2 linked regions of the Oreochromis niloticus genome follow. The protein of the gene in region 2 interacts with the protein of the main gene of each other region in a pairwise test. Links are inferred from orthologs where the notes say so. Each region holds a gene or a part of one and is shown on either strand. Other genes may lie near its edges. The genes, in order: mpp1 and dnpep.

Region 1 (7,487 bases), on a different chromosome or scaffold from region 2:
CTGATAAAAACCTGCTTGCTGGCTCCCTCTGGAGTTGAAACTGGCACTCCATCGGGGAGCTTAAACTCATTAGCTGGCTTAATACCTATTTTCTTGCCTCCTGTTTACCACACTGTTTTTTGTGCCACGCAATGAAGAGTTGGCAGCACGTGGTTTGTTTATACTTTGCATATACAAGAGGGTTTTGGCAGGTGGGGGAACTTTAAGTTCCAAAAAGTGATTTCCGGTATTTGCCAAAGAATTTTTGTCCGTATTTAAACTTTTGTAAATAACTTGTGGGCCTATAATCTGTGAAACATATGTCAAATATATATTTCATGAATGATATCAAGTCACTTTGAGCCAGAAACAATATCCTTGCCACAATATAGAAGCCGCAATCTGTTTTGTTGTTGTTGTTGTTGTTTTTTTAAAAGATACTTTTATATATCTTTTATTTATTCCAGTAAAAATCACTGACATTAAAAATGGCTTTTTAAGAGAGATCAGCCCAAGAGGGCAGGAATTGCATAAATAAATAAATAAATAAATAAATAAATAAATAAATGTAAAAAAAAAAAAAAAAAAGTTTTATAAAGATATTTTGAGTGGTCAAAAGGGACTGGGTTGATAATAATGGGGTACAACACTGCAGAGACATAAAAAAAACCCTTAAAAACAGGTCTTTTTTAAATATATAATAACCTTTCATAAATCCTGTTGATTACAGTATATTTAATAATATAAGCAAAGATGTCACACATAAAAAAAAAAACACACAGAAACACCTATTTAGCCCAACACAGAAACACCAGATGGGACACGACTCTAAACAGCTGGTATAAAGGTCAAACTTGGAATTCTTATATTCGGATTGATGACTCCTTCTGGAAGCAAGTCCCGTTAGTCAGCAGCCATGCTGCAACATCTGGGCACTTTTATTTAACTTTTATTTTAATGCTCAGCGGGAAATAAAAACTGCATGCATACAATGTCAAGTCAAATTTGATCAAATTAAATGCTAAAAAGTTTTCTGATGTTGTCCTCAAATAAACTTTTAAAACTTTTACCACCATCTTTGCTGTCACAAAAGTCTCCAATACAATTCACAGTTCTTTCACTGCTCTCTCTATTTTATAATATCTCTGTAGTTACCCACGACCTAACCTACCACAGTCCATCCACCATAACACTACAAACCCATCAGCCTTCACTATCCATCTAAACTTTTGAATATCATGAAATTATTATCATGACATTCCACATTATGAAATAGCCTGGTAACTTCTATATGGTTCAAATGATTGGAAAGTCTAATATGGTTTAATTTAATCTTTTAATTTCCAGTCTTGGTAGCCGGGGATCGGTCCGCCAGGACCTCTGCTCCTGGCCGCCGCCCAGCTCACATTGCACCCGACCCCTACGGTGCCTCCTGTGGGTGGTGGGCCTGCAGGAAGATGGGCCCATGTCCCTTTTTCGGGCTGTGCCCGGCCAGGCCCCATGGACTAAGGCCTGGCCACCAGACGCTCGCCCTCGGGCACCCTCCCCGGGCCTGGCTCCAGGGCGGGGCCCCGGTAACTCTATCCCGGACAGGGTGAACTGTTCCCTCGATGGTATTTTCATAGGGGTCTTCTGAATCACTCTTTGTCAGGTCCCGGGAGGAGGTGCTGGGGCAGACCCATGACACGCTGGAGAGATTATATCTCTCGGCTGGCCTGGGAACGCCTCCGGACAAGCTGGAGGAGGTGGCTGGGGAGAGGGAGGTCTGGGCTTCTCTGCTTGGGCTGCTGCCCCCGCGACCTGGCCCCGGATAAGCGGAAGAAAATGGATGGATGGATTTCCAGTTTATAAGATTTCCATTGTGGAGAAGTACATACCTTTTAAAGACAATTTCTCATCTTCTTTGCCAGGAAACATCTGAAATATATATTTTTGAAAAATAAATGAATAAAAAAAATTTTATGGATAAAACCAGGATTAATTGTGTCAAGAGATTCATTCTAAATGACACTTCTTCAGCTGAGAGTCTAAGAGTGAAGACACACACTGCAGATCTTTACTTGCAAGGGCGGTCACAGAACGCTCACATCAGAGTGGGGGCCCTGTGATCAGTGCTCTGTTACCGCTCTGGTCTTTATTTATATACAAAGCAATACAACAGTGAATACGTCTATTCATAGGCAGAGGAATGTTAGTGCGTGAAGATAAGAGTGGTTCAGGTGTATGTGTGTGTGTTGTGAGATTCAGAAGGACGCGGCCCCTCTTCTTGTTAGGGAGCGCAGATAAAAGTGTCCAGCTCTCCTCTTTCCTGCTTGTTCAGCTATTATCGCTGTGAGAAAGAATTTATAAAACAGAAACAGGTCTTGTAGTGGGCAACAGGCTAAGTCATCAAAAGGTCATCATGCAGTATTCTATCATAATTAAACTTATATCATTAAAAGCTTATACTGACTACTAAGTACAATTTTCCATTTACAAATTGTATCAGAATGATCAGAAGAGAAAAGTATGTCATCCAGACCTTTATATCTTTAAGAGATGTCTATAGTTTAGCTAGTTGATTTGTATCTTCTGGCTTCACGAATGAATAAAGCTGGGAATCATCAGCATAGCAATGAAAATTTATGCAGTGTTTTCTAATAGTATAACCTTAGGAAGGCATGTATAATGGAATGCAATGGAATTGATGATGTGACGGCTGATAGAAGCAGTAGGATGAATTCTGAGTGTACAGGGCTATTCTCTCTGTTCAATGCAATTCAATTCTGCTGTATTGATATAACGCCATTATGTACCAATATTGTAAGGTAAGACCCTATATAATAGAGAGAAGACCCCTACAATTAGATGACCCCTGTGAGCAAGCATTTGGTGATAGTGGGAAGGAAAAACTCCATTTAAACAGGGAGTAGAACTGAGCTCAGAGATGGACAGCCATCTGCTATGACTGGTTGGCGGTAAGGGGAGGAAGATTCAGCCAACTTTCAGCCTCCTCTTCTGTGGAACCAGTTCCCAGTTTGCATTTCGGAGACAGACACATACTCTTCTTCTTCTGAGATTAGGCTTAAAATGTTCCTATTTCAACAAATTGGGGCTGGTTTAGGTGATCCTGAACCCTCTCTTAGTTAATCTGCAATAGCTCTGGACTGCTGGGGGCTTCTCATGATGCACTGATTGTTTCTTCTTCACTCACTTCTGTTTCACTCTCCATGCTGTATTTCATCATTAATTTTAAACTCTGGCTGTCTCCCATGTGTGTCTTTTGTCCTATGCTCTCTTCACGGCAGATGGCTACCCCTCCCTGGTTCTACTGGAAGTTTCTTTTTATCAAGGGAGTTTTTCCTTCCCACTGTCACCCAGTGCTCTCTGCTAGGGGGTTGTCTGATTATTCGAGTTTTCTATTTATTATTGTGGTCTACTTGCAATATAAAGCTCCTTGAGATATAGTGAAACTGAATTGAATTGAAAGCGGTATAATATAAATCTATTTAAAGTACATTAAAACAGTAAAGGAGATGAAATCCATGTGTTTTTGTGAACCAGCCCTCAGTTCATCTGTCAAAAAAAGACTGCATACATGCTTGTATATGTTGTATGTGTACACAGTGGAAATAGACAGGCCACTTTAAGGACGGGGTTTCCTGCTCACAGTCTCCTACAGCTGCAATGTATTAAACCTAATCACATGCAGTGTCCATGTTGCAACACTGATGTCATCTGTAATCACTCAGTAATGTATCAGTAATAGGATCACTCTACTTTCCCACTGATTATTTTTTTAGTGTTTGTTTGTTTGTTTGTTAAATTAGCACAGAGAGACTATCACACTGCAGCTGGGTACACTGTGTTCCAAACTGAAGTTCTTGCAAGCTAGCTGTTGGAATCACCGGGACTACGTTATTTTTTGCTTCCCCTGTAGCCTGAGAGGGTAGCCCTGCTGAAAATGCTGCGGTAATGTTGCATTCCCAGCCTGTGGGATATTTAGCATTTTGTTGGGCTCAAAATGGAAATTGATTTCCGTGTTGGCCCATCAGATTCCAAAGGCTTATTTAGCACCGGTTTCGAATTAGTTTTGTACTAATTGAACTGTATAAACGAAAAAGAAACAAAGAATCTTTAAATAGGTTTCTATGACGCATAGGTAGATGATGTTTGAATAAACACCGCAGTTTAGAGAAAGCCTATAGATCAATAGGGATATACGATGCCAACGTAGAAATATCCAAAGGAAATAACAATAAGAAGCGCTACAGTATCGTTCGTAATTCCCTGATTTCAGCTCATTTTGGGATAAGAACTTTAATTGTGAGATTCCTGAGCTCACACGGGGACCTTGAACGCATCAGCAGCCAGCCCCTCAGAGCACAGCAGCAGTCAGATGCATGTTTACTTGCTTTGTCAGCGGTGTCCCTGCAGTAGTTATCGCATGAACCTCACCTACTGCTGATCAGATCTTTGGACTCTTATCTCCGACAGTGACTTATCTCATAGTCACTCCTTATCAGCAGTTTGTGGCCAGTGTCTTGAGGACTTTGATCGAGGGGGCAAATCGGGTTCACTGTGTTTTTTTTATTTAACGGGAAAGATGACGTTAAAATCCAATAAAAACGATCCCACTGTCACACTGGAGTCCGTGAACAGCGTCCGGACAGCCCTTTCCGATCTCTACCTGGAGCAGCTCCTTCAAAACAAACCAAAGTCTGACAAGGTAAGATGATCTTTTTTTGTATATATATACCTTATTAATTTATTTAGACCCCTCTGATTTCGCTGTTCTTATTTGCTTCCGGGAAGCAGATACGGGGACATGTGATCGTTGTTTATTTCCGAACAAGATCTCTAAGAATAGACCCGTTTATGTTTTCATACTGCAGCAGCTGAATGTGTTGATCTCTTAAACAAAGAACATTTAGATCTTTACTGTGTTAGCAGCTTCTGCATTACTCAGCACTATCGGTCAGCCTCAGCTTGAAATCAGCAGACATTGCTGTGGCAGTTTCAGTTCTCCATTTCTCACAAATTCACGCAAGTATTTTGACAACTTGGGGAAAACATTAGGGAAGGGGTTTTTGGTTTTTTTTAGCCATCATAAGACTATGTTCCTGTATTTCACACAGTAGTATGAACTGTCTCATTAACCAGCTGGGCTTATAGTGATATGAACACATTTAAGAGCGGCAATAAAATCATAAAGAAGTAACTTGTCAGCTGTGAAGTCTTTTCTGGGACTGTGCCTTCATACAGTTTTGAAACATATTGTGTAATTTTGCTTACAGCTTACCCTGAGCCCCTGCTCAGGAATCAGTCAAGTGAAGGTTGTTTACACCACACTGCCAAGCACACTGTTAAACTTGTTTGCGTTTTCCTCCCCTTAAAGATCCTTGACTATGTCATGGAAATACTGTCTTTACCTCTAACAAAGACTAAGCTAACAAGTATGACTGAAAAGATGTTCCAGAAAACATGTAGAATATGTCGGAAGGGACAAAGCCAGAGTTAAATCTCTGGCACACTTTAGACCTGGATTTGATTTCCAGCAGGAGACCGGTGCCTTCTCAGAATTTGAAAAGTCAGCACTGAGCCACTGAGGGAAATGTGAAAGAGAGGAAACTTTATTCCTGACATCAGCAGTTTGCAGTTCAGTAGCCTTGAGTTGCAATCTTGCCTACATATCCTTCTGCTCTGTGTTAATCAGCATGTCTCTAACTGAGGTCTCTAAATGGTTTGTTTAAGGATGATTAATCATATATTGTGTCTTTCTTACTTTCTATTCTTTTCTGTCATTTTTTGCTCCTTTGCACTGAGTTATGCTTCTAATACTTCAGGCTTAATAACTGTGTACTGCCCTACTTAGACAATCATGCATTTAAGGTCTTAAGACAAGTTGGGGCAAGTTGATAAGCGGGACACACAGAACTTTTGGCAGTTCTTTCTTCTTTTTTTCTCCTTTTTTGTGGAAAGCTCATTAACCACACAGTGTTCAAATGTCAACTATTAATCTCCTGCTGTATTTTTCCAAGAGATCAATAGAAGGAAAACAAAAAGCCGTAAACCCTACATTGGGGAGGGCTGATGATTAATATTCCTTTAGTTAAAAACAGCAGATCATGTAAGAAAGATAAAGTATAATCAACTATTCTGTGTTATATTAGACCAGTAACCCAACTGTGTGCAGAAAAGCGAATGGAACAACTGCTATAGATTTTTATGGTGAATTCATTTATCTTGGCACTGATGGTCTTCCTCTACACGCCTGTCACCTTCTATTTTTCACCCTGAAGAGACAAGCCGCTGTTTTGAACGCTCTTTCTTTACCCTGATGCTCCTCCAAACTTGAAACCAGCATTAAAACTATGGCCATGACTTCCTGACCATACTTGTCGAAGGATAGCTTGTTACCAGTTACTGAAGCACGGCTCAAACCTTTAATTAAATCTTGATCTTGTTACACTCCAAGTGGTGGAGCTGACAGAGCTCACTGTCAACATATTGATGAGGTGGGTTTTATTAAAAGGACCCTTTAGTGCTAGTCTAAATCTAATCCCTCAAGAGATCAGAGACATTTCTGCTACTTTCTTCAGACACGTTCAGCTGATTTGTGAGTAAGCGGATTACTCCAGACATTATTGCGGATTCTTTTTTGTGTGTGAAATGAATCACTCTAAGTATAAGAATGTGAAATGAGAAGTAAGATACATATCGTGTATCGGAATATCGCGATTTTTTGTTTTTTAATAAATGGCTGCACGTTTTACAAAATCAGCTTTTCACTCCTTCCTGATGCTGATCACTCCTGATGGCTAACAGCACACACTGCTCATGAATTACTATCACACCTCAGAGAGACCTAACTGGCTGTCATGGCTCCTGCATCTGGCCATGAGGCTCATCAGTGCAGCAGTAGTTTCTAAACCCAGAGGTGGCTTTAGAGCAGCTAAAGTTATTGGTGAGGTGGACAGTGATAACGATTGGATTATTGTAATGCTGATGCTGGAAGGTAGATAATTTTTTTTTTTTTTTGCTGAAGCAGTGCTGATGTGTCATATTCACGCAAGAAAGTTTGCTGATGCAGGCAATCATCTCTCTGATGTCAGTTAAGTGAACGAATTATAAAAGCTTTGATATGGTGCACTCACTGCCCGATCCTGGAGGGCACTTTACTCTCACAGAGTCATTACGTGGTATCTTATCTTGTACTCAGTAGATTTAATGTAATTCCGTAGTGTCTTGATTTGTCAGGGGAGCTACGTGGATTTCTTCTCTTACGGCGATGCTTACACTCTGGAAATAACTTGGACGAGGTTGTCCTGCTATGCTTTTGGTGTAAAAGAATAGCACAAATCTATACATTTGATTTCTGTAGCAAACATTCAAGCAGCATGCGTCATAGTGAATTCGTTTTGCTACATCAGTGCTTCGTTCATCACACTGTTGGTATCCATGACCACACGAACCTGGTGGACCAGATGAGTGGACGTGGTTAATGAAGTGTGTTTTAATGCCTGGTT
Region 2 (7,312 bases):
TCAGGACGTGAAATGAATGTCAGATATTCGAAGCAAAAGACCCTCAGCTGTTATAGAGATTCACCAGAATATCTTAAAGGGTCATTTTTTCCAAAATAAAAGGTCCCCAGTTACTTTTGGGAAATTATAAGGACATTCAGACATATGCAAAACTTTGAAAATTAAACCCCTCAATTGTTGCAGAAAATGAATAAAATTATAGAAATAAGATAATTTTCCTGCGTATTAAAAGTCTACCTGACATACACACAACACAGACAAGGTAAAGGACTTCAGAAATTATAGAAATTTACCAGGATACTTTAAAGGGTCTCTTTTTCTCAAAACAAAATCTAATGTCAGAATTTCAAAACAAAAGCCCTAGACTTTTACAGACATTTATCATTATACTTCCAAAATAAACGCCCTTGGTTAGTTAGTGAACATTGTCAGATTTTCCAAATAAAAATTCAGAAATTTCAGCATATACAGTTGAGAGTGCAATCTTGTGCAAACCATTTAGATTTCCGTTCTACTACTTTTTACCCCACCTTGCTGGCTGGCTTGATGTCCCACTGCTCCGTCTCCTTGAGCTCGATGAACCCAGCCTCCAGCAGATGCCGGCGACATTCTTCAACCACTGCAGGGCGAGAAAGCGGAGGAGACATGAAGTTTATTTGTTTCTGTTAAAGTCAAACTGATCTTTGCAGTGTGACTACATGCCTTACTGTCAGTGCTGGGCGTTGTTTGTCATAGTTACTTTTCAACGCTGACAATAGTACTGAGACAACAGAGTCTGAGTTTTAGAGACCTCACTGTCACATTTAATTACTCCTTAGTAAATCAATGGGAGCCATTTTTCAGCTGTTTTTCAAACTAGTGAAAACTCAGATTTTGTTAAGCCTAAAATGAGGTAGAGATGAGTTTCAGAGCAAAGACATGACTTTTAAGTGTCTATCTCTTCTCAACCAAGTGTATGAAACCTAATTAGAAGATGCTAACAATTCAATAATTAAATTACCGAAATAAACAAAAAACAAAAAAAAGTGCAAAACTTTATTACCTTTTGCACTTTATTCCTGTTATGGGACTGAAAACTTATTTTAATTCTTTGGTTCTTTATTTGTTGTTGGGGACAGAGTTCAGAGTTCAGAGGGCAAAGGTTGTAGACATGATGAAATATCTGTTCCATCTCAATCTTATCTCTCTGGCTCAAAGGCGATCTGAACTGCATCTCAGCTGGTTAATGCTGACACATGAGAGCCCGTTTATGCTCTGATTACAGCAGAGAGACACTCGTTGTCTTTCCTATCAAACTCAACCTGCTGCCTTCTCCTCACTGATTCTCACTGGTTTTAAAGCACAAAAGCAACAAACTGTCAGCATAAAACACTCGGTCGGAGGAAAAACAGGTGTCAAATTTAAAATTACACCACAAAGAAAAGAGTGGCACACTTTGGACTCCTATAATGCATGTGTCATACACAACATACTGAACTGGTTGGTATGTGGCTGGACCTGCTTTACTGCAGTTGTTTTACTTACTTTGCTTGTTAAATGAACTTTATTAAATGAGAAAACTTTCTCTTTAGAGTCAGAAAATAAACCTCAGATTCCAGCTGTGCATTTATTATAAAAGCAATGGTAAATTCAAATAAATGCTTAATTTTTCAATAATTTCAATATAAATAATTTTCAATAATAATTTCAGTAGATTTCTGTTAATTTAATGGTGTTTTTTCTTTTTTTTTACCTGTTTAAGTATTTCCCATGTATTTGTTTCAGTTTTTTCTTTTGTAAATTTACCAGTTCTTTCTCAGAAATTTCCCCTTTTTTAATTTTTAATTTTGCCAATATTCTTGAAAATTGCCTTTTTTTCCTCATGAATTTGTAGGAGGATTTTTTTTCTAAAGCATTTTTTATTTTTTTGTCTACCTTGCTAGAATTTTATTTATATCTTTTTCTTATGAATTACAAGTTTTTCCTTGTAAATTTGGTAGTTCTTTCCCTCATAAATGGGTGGCAATGTTTACCACATGCACATTTTTTGTGTAAATTTGCAATATTAATCTTGAAATTTCCAAATTTCTTTTCCTCAAATCTTTAGCCACCTCATCCAGCTCCTTTCCCCCCCCCATTTATTCATTTACCTTCTGGGGCCCTAATGTACTGCCAATGTAAATATGCGAGTAAGACTCAATAAGCGAGCTACAACAGCCATGCACCAGCAACATTTTTAAAAAGTTGGACTTTTTCTTATTATGCTTACTATGAACTAAACATGGTCGCCGAATTAAAAGCCTGCTTCTGGCAACACAGAGAAGGTTTACAATAATACTTTACCTCATATATACGGGTGCTGACCTTAAACAGGACTTTAAATTCAAAGATTTATGAACGGAGTTTGGTTCGGTACAGTTTGGAACTTGAAAAAAAAACCCATTAAACGCTGCCACGTACGTGAGTTCCATATGATACAGATTTTATTACATTTGAAGGGATAAATCCAGAGTTTTGCAGACTTTACCGTGATATGGAGACACTCCTCTGTTGACAAACTGCAGAAACTCTTTGGCTGCTGACTGCACGGCCTCTTTGGAGCTCTTCATGATCAGCGACTAAAGGGGAAAAAGTATAAAAAGTGTGAAAAATGTGCGCAATAAAGAACAACTTGATCATAGTAAACGAGACAGCAAAGCTAGCAAGATCTTAGTAATCATGACAAACAACTAGCAATAGCCAGATACCGGCCTCTAGTTTCAACTTCGGACTGTAAGTTGAGTTTTTATGCAGGATCTGTTTTTGTCCGATAATGGAACTAACTGTATTTTGCTAGCTAACCTAACCAGGACAGCCCGAGCTTTCAGCGTCTGTGTCAACTGTGTCGACTAAAGTCAACACAGTTGTAGGTGAGGAAGCACCGCCTCCACGTGACGCATCCACAGTAATCATTGTTATGGCACTTACCTGCATTAACCGGACTTTGATATTATGAAGAGGTACAAAGAAGACGAGCAGCGACAGATTAGCTGACAGCGGCGGAGAAAGGGAGAAAGGTGCAGAGTCACAAACAGCGCAGCAGCGACATCCAGCGGCCAGGAGGCGCAATGGAACAGTCACTCTCACAGGACTCTGCTTTCAGACTAATTCCTTCATTTAATTATTAATATCAGTCATTACACTTTATACTGGGTCACTTTTATGAGATATTTTACTTTATCATATACTGAATGGACATTTTTTAGGTAGACTTTGCTAGTACCAAATTGGAGCCACTTTTTGCCTTTGGAGCTGCTTCAATGCTTCACAGCATAGATTCAACAAGGTGCTAGAAACATGACAGCATCACAGAGATGCTGCAGATTTGTCAGCTGCACATCCATGATGACAATCTTTTGTTCCACCACATACCACAGGTGCTCTATTGTTGACTGTGGAGGTTATTTTAGTACAGTTAGCTCATGTTCAAGAAACTAGTTTGACATGATTTAAGCTTTGTGACATTTTCTCCCTCATAAATGCAGCTCACTGGATATTTTCTCTTTTTCTGACCATTGCCTGTATACTCTAGAGATGGTTGTGTGGGAAAATCCCAGCAGATCAGCAGTTTGTGAAATACTCAAACCAAGAACCATGCATCCCCATCCAAACTTAAATCATCTTTCTTCCTCATTCTGATGCTCAGTTTGAACCTCAGCAGGTCATCCTGACCATGTTTAGATACATTTGGGAATTGCTTTAATATTATTGGCTGATCAGATATTTGTGTTAACACCCACACAGCTACAGAGAAAATCAGCACAGCAATCAGCTGTTTTAAAATAATACCAAAAGCAACAGCATCCAGAGGCTTCAGATACTGACAAGAGCTTAAACTAAATTCCTAAAATCCATCATTTTCTGTCTTTTTGCAGTGCCAATAATAGATTTAAAATTGCAATGCATTGTTGAGACTTCTGTGTTTCATTAGGCAGACTAAGAGAGCCAAATCGCCCTCTTTTTTGTTCTCATTTGGTTTTATTTTCTATCTGGAGACCTCTGTGTTTATGCTCCATCCCCCCACCATGCTGCCATTCATCACTGTATCACCAGGGGAACCATCCTTATATAGTCCTGAACACTGAGGGAGGAGGAGGAGGAGGAGGAGGAAGAGGAGGAAAGGCGGAAAATGCTGTAGAGAGGTTTACTTCAGCTGTCAGCTCTTGAGGAAGCCCAGAGGGATGAAAATACATAGACTCACACATTCGCATTCAGACTTTATTAATAGATGTGAGATCAACAAGCTGCAATGGAAGTGCTGAACGCATTCAGATCGTATGGGATTTAGAATAGTCTTCACACAGAAAATCACAGGATAGATCAATTAGGGAAAGCTTACAGTTATGTTTTAAAGTTAGGCGACCTCTAGTGGCCAGAGTGACAGAGTGGTTGTGAAATATATGTAGAGTAGTTACCTTCAGACTGGACTGGATAAGTGGTAGAAAATAGAATAACTACTGGTTCTTAGATAGTTAGATAGTTGATTCTTAGACAGATTCTTCTTTTGCCAAAGTTCCTCCAAGGTTTGATCAAGTCATTTTTTGTGCAATCCTGCTGACAGACAATAAACAAATCAAACAAACATGCAACAAAAAACAAAGTTAAAAGAAAACTTAGAAAACCCCAAACAGCAGTAACGTCACTGAAGTCTTTCCACCGCTTAAGTGCCTGAATGGTTGGATGGATGAAAAGATGCACTTGAAACTGTCATGAAACGGCTGTGGCAGGCAGGAGGAAGGACCCAAATGCAGAACTCAAAACACAGGGATGAACTGAATGAGGCTGCTTTATTGCAGTGGAACAACTTACACTTACAACACCAAACCAAAACCTAGAAACTAATAACAAAAAACGGGGAAACCAGGGCCGGCGAGTTCAGGGAGCACAACAGGAGAAACCCACACAGCATGAGGGGACAATACAACACTGACAGAGAGAAACACAGGGCTAAAATACACTGAGGGATGAGAAGGGAATGGGACACAGGAGGAGAGCACAGCTGGGACTGATCACACTTGACGAGACTAAAGGGCGTCAAGGCTAGAGACACAGACATGAGACAAGGGACCGTCAAAGTAAAATGACACGAACACAAGGGGAGCACAGAGAATACCTAAACACTGGAAGAAAAATAACAAAAAAAACAGAAAACTCTAAAAAATTAATAAACACAAAACATAAACATGGAGTCACCAGACTTCGGACCATGACAGAAACACAGAAAACTGAGTTGTTTAACATAGTAAAAACGAGTTTGTTCCAGTTCAAACCATGACATTTTCTAATCCTATCAACATACAACATGAGCACTTAACTCCAGTTCCCTACTAGAAATGCACTGCTCTCATCAATCAGGAATGCCTGCATGGAGAATCAAAAACTGCTGTGACTTTTCATTTGGAGGATTTGTTGTTAGAATAATTTCTTGGTATGAGCATCAGGCCATAATTGCAATCACTTAATAACAATAATGATAATAACTAGACGTGCTAATGGACCTGAATAAATTAAAGGCCTCATTGCCTTTAGTTTCCAGTTTTGCTCTTGGAGAGGACACTAATGACCTACCAGAGGGATACATTTCTAGGTGCAGGTCAAGGTGCAGTATATTAAAATAAATACTCCAAAGGTGAGCAATGCCATGAACTATATAAACAAGATGTAGCACATCCAGGTGGTGTTGTGTGGTTTGATAACCACAGGTAGGAAAGATTTGCTGTAGTGCATCATGGTGTAAAGACTTTTTCTAAACTGTCCAGCGCCTCATTGAGACAGTTTGAAGGCTTATCAGTGTTTCTTACACCTTCATTAAGGAGTCAAGCTCCATTTCCACAACCTTACTGACCTTGTAGATAGGTTTGTTAGGTCTGTTAGCATCTGCACCGTCCACACCAGAGCATGGAGGGTGGTGTTGGCCATAACAGACCCAACATTCAGCTACACGAGCTCAACAGTCAGGTGGAAGGATGAGGATTAAGTCTATTTTCATGGCAATTCAGTGGACTGACTAATCTAAATTGATTTATTTACAGACTTGAAAGAAAACTTAAAAATATAAATGTAAAAAAATCTGTTTTTTTCCAAAAGCTGGTGGTAACTTGTGCTAGCTGAGTCTACAAAAGACTATGAATTTGATTCATTTCATACAGCCACAATAGACGTAATAATAGAAGTCTACAAGAATAATCATTAAAATGATTAATAAAAACAAATCTGAGAAATGTGTTTCTTCCTGTTAACCTGGTCAGAAATGAATGTGTTAACTGTTTCTACATTCACGTCTGATTAGCTTAATTATCTGACAAAAACATGATGGGATGACAGAACTTTTCCTAATCAAAGTTCATATGGTTATTAGACTTCTGCATAAATGTTTGGTGACAGGGGAGGAAATGACATTCCTGAAAAAACTACTAAACTAAACAGTAAAATACAAAAAGAACAACAAACCAAAACTATAACCAGGATCGAAGGAAAAGCAAAACATGACGCAACAAACAGAAAGAATAACCAGAAAATATCTAAAACAAGAACACCCAGAGTGCGCACCTCCACCTGAAGGGCAAGGGTTATACTAAAACTGATGTTTTATGATGTTCTTATTATAACATGCTGACGTTAGCCTGTTACAGTGTCATTGTCATGTTGTAGAGCGTCGGATTGAAAATATAAAACATGTATTGAACAGCTCTCTTCATGCCCTTTCATATCATATTTTCCTTGATATGGTTTACTTTGACCTTGGGCGCTAGCAATGAAGGTCAAGATCAAACGCTTAGCCAACCTCGGCATTCGTGTCCCCCAAGGAATAGTGTATTGGTGTGAAGTTTGAAGATGACCTCGAGCTGATTATCCCCAAAATGAAATCAGCTCGAGCTGATACCTTAAAAACTGTGGACACTTGACTGCTAACAAACAGACAGACAAACAGACAAATGGAACTGAAACTAGAAAAGTCCATAAGCTCAAGACATTGGGTCGATGACCAAGGACCAGATGTGATAATCTTGATTTTATTTTGCACCTGCCGACATGAATTTGACATTTTGAGACTAAATTATACAAAGACACACCAGGGAACACAGGGAAATCCTACAATGACACAGAAAACAGACAGGTATCAATAAATAAGATTTCTGTTAAAAAGAAAAAGAATCCTTTGTCAGATAACCCAAATACTCATGTTAAACTCTCTTCTTACGAAGACAGCAAAAGAAGCTTGAGTGGATTAAACCAGCATCACATTTCACACTTGTAATGTCTGCTTTGCAACTACATCTAAAAACTATTTTTA

What was found.
Region 1: the proteins of dnpep (region 2) and mpp1 interact in binary tests that used the Homo sapiens proteins (3 or more experiments, as listed by UniProt). The two-hybrid records come from large-scale screens. The link is inferred for Oreochromis niloticus from reciprocal best matches to the Homo sapiens genes DNPEP and MPP1.

What each region holds. Positions count from the first base shown.
Region 1 is NC_031975.2:8,705,723-8,713,209, reverse strand, and holds the start of mpp1 (55 kDa erythrocyte membrane protein), read left to right. Parts: upstream 1-4,261; 5' UTR 4,262-4,564; coding exon 4,565-4,687; intron 4,688-7,487. UniProt on the Homo sapiens protein: Essential regulator of neutrophil polarity. Regulates neutrophil polarization by regulating AKT1 phosphorylation through a mechanism that is independent of PIK3CG activity.
Region 2 is NC_031986.2:20,304,939-20,312,250, reverse strand, and holds the start of dnpep (aspartyl aminopeptidase), read right to left. Parts: upstream 3,088-7,312; 5' UTR 2,953-3,087; coding exon 2,947-2,952; intron 2,867-2,946; exon of another isoform or gene 2,727-2,866; intron 2,598-2,726; coding exon 2,507-2,597; intron 620-2,506; coding exon 531-619; intron 1-530.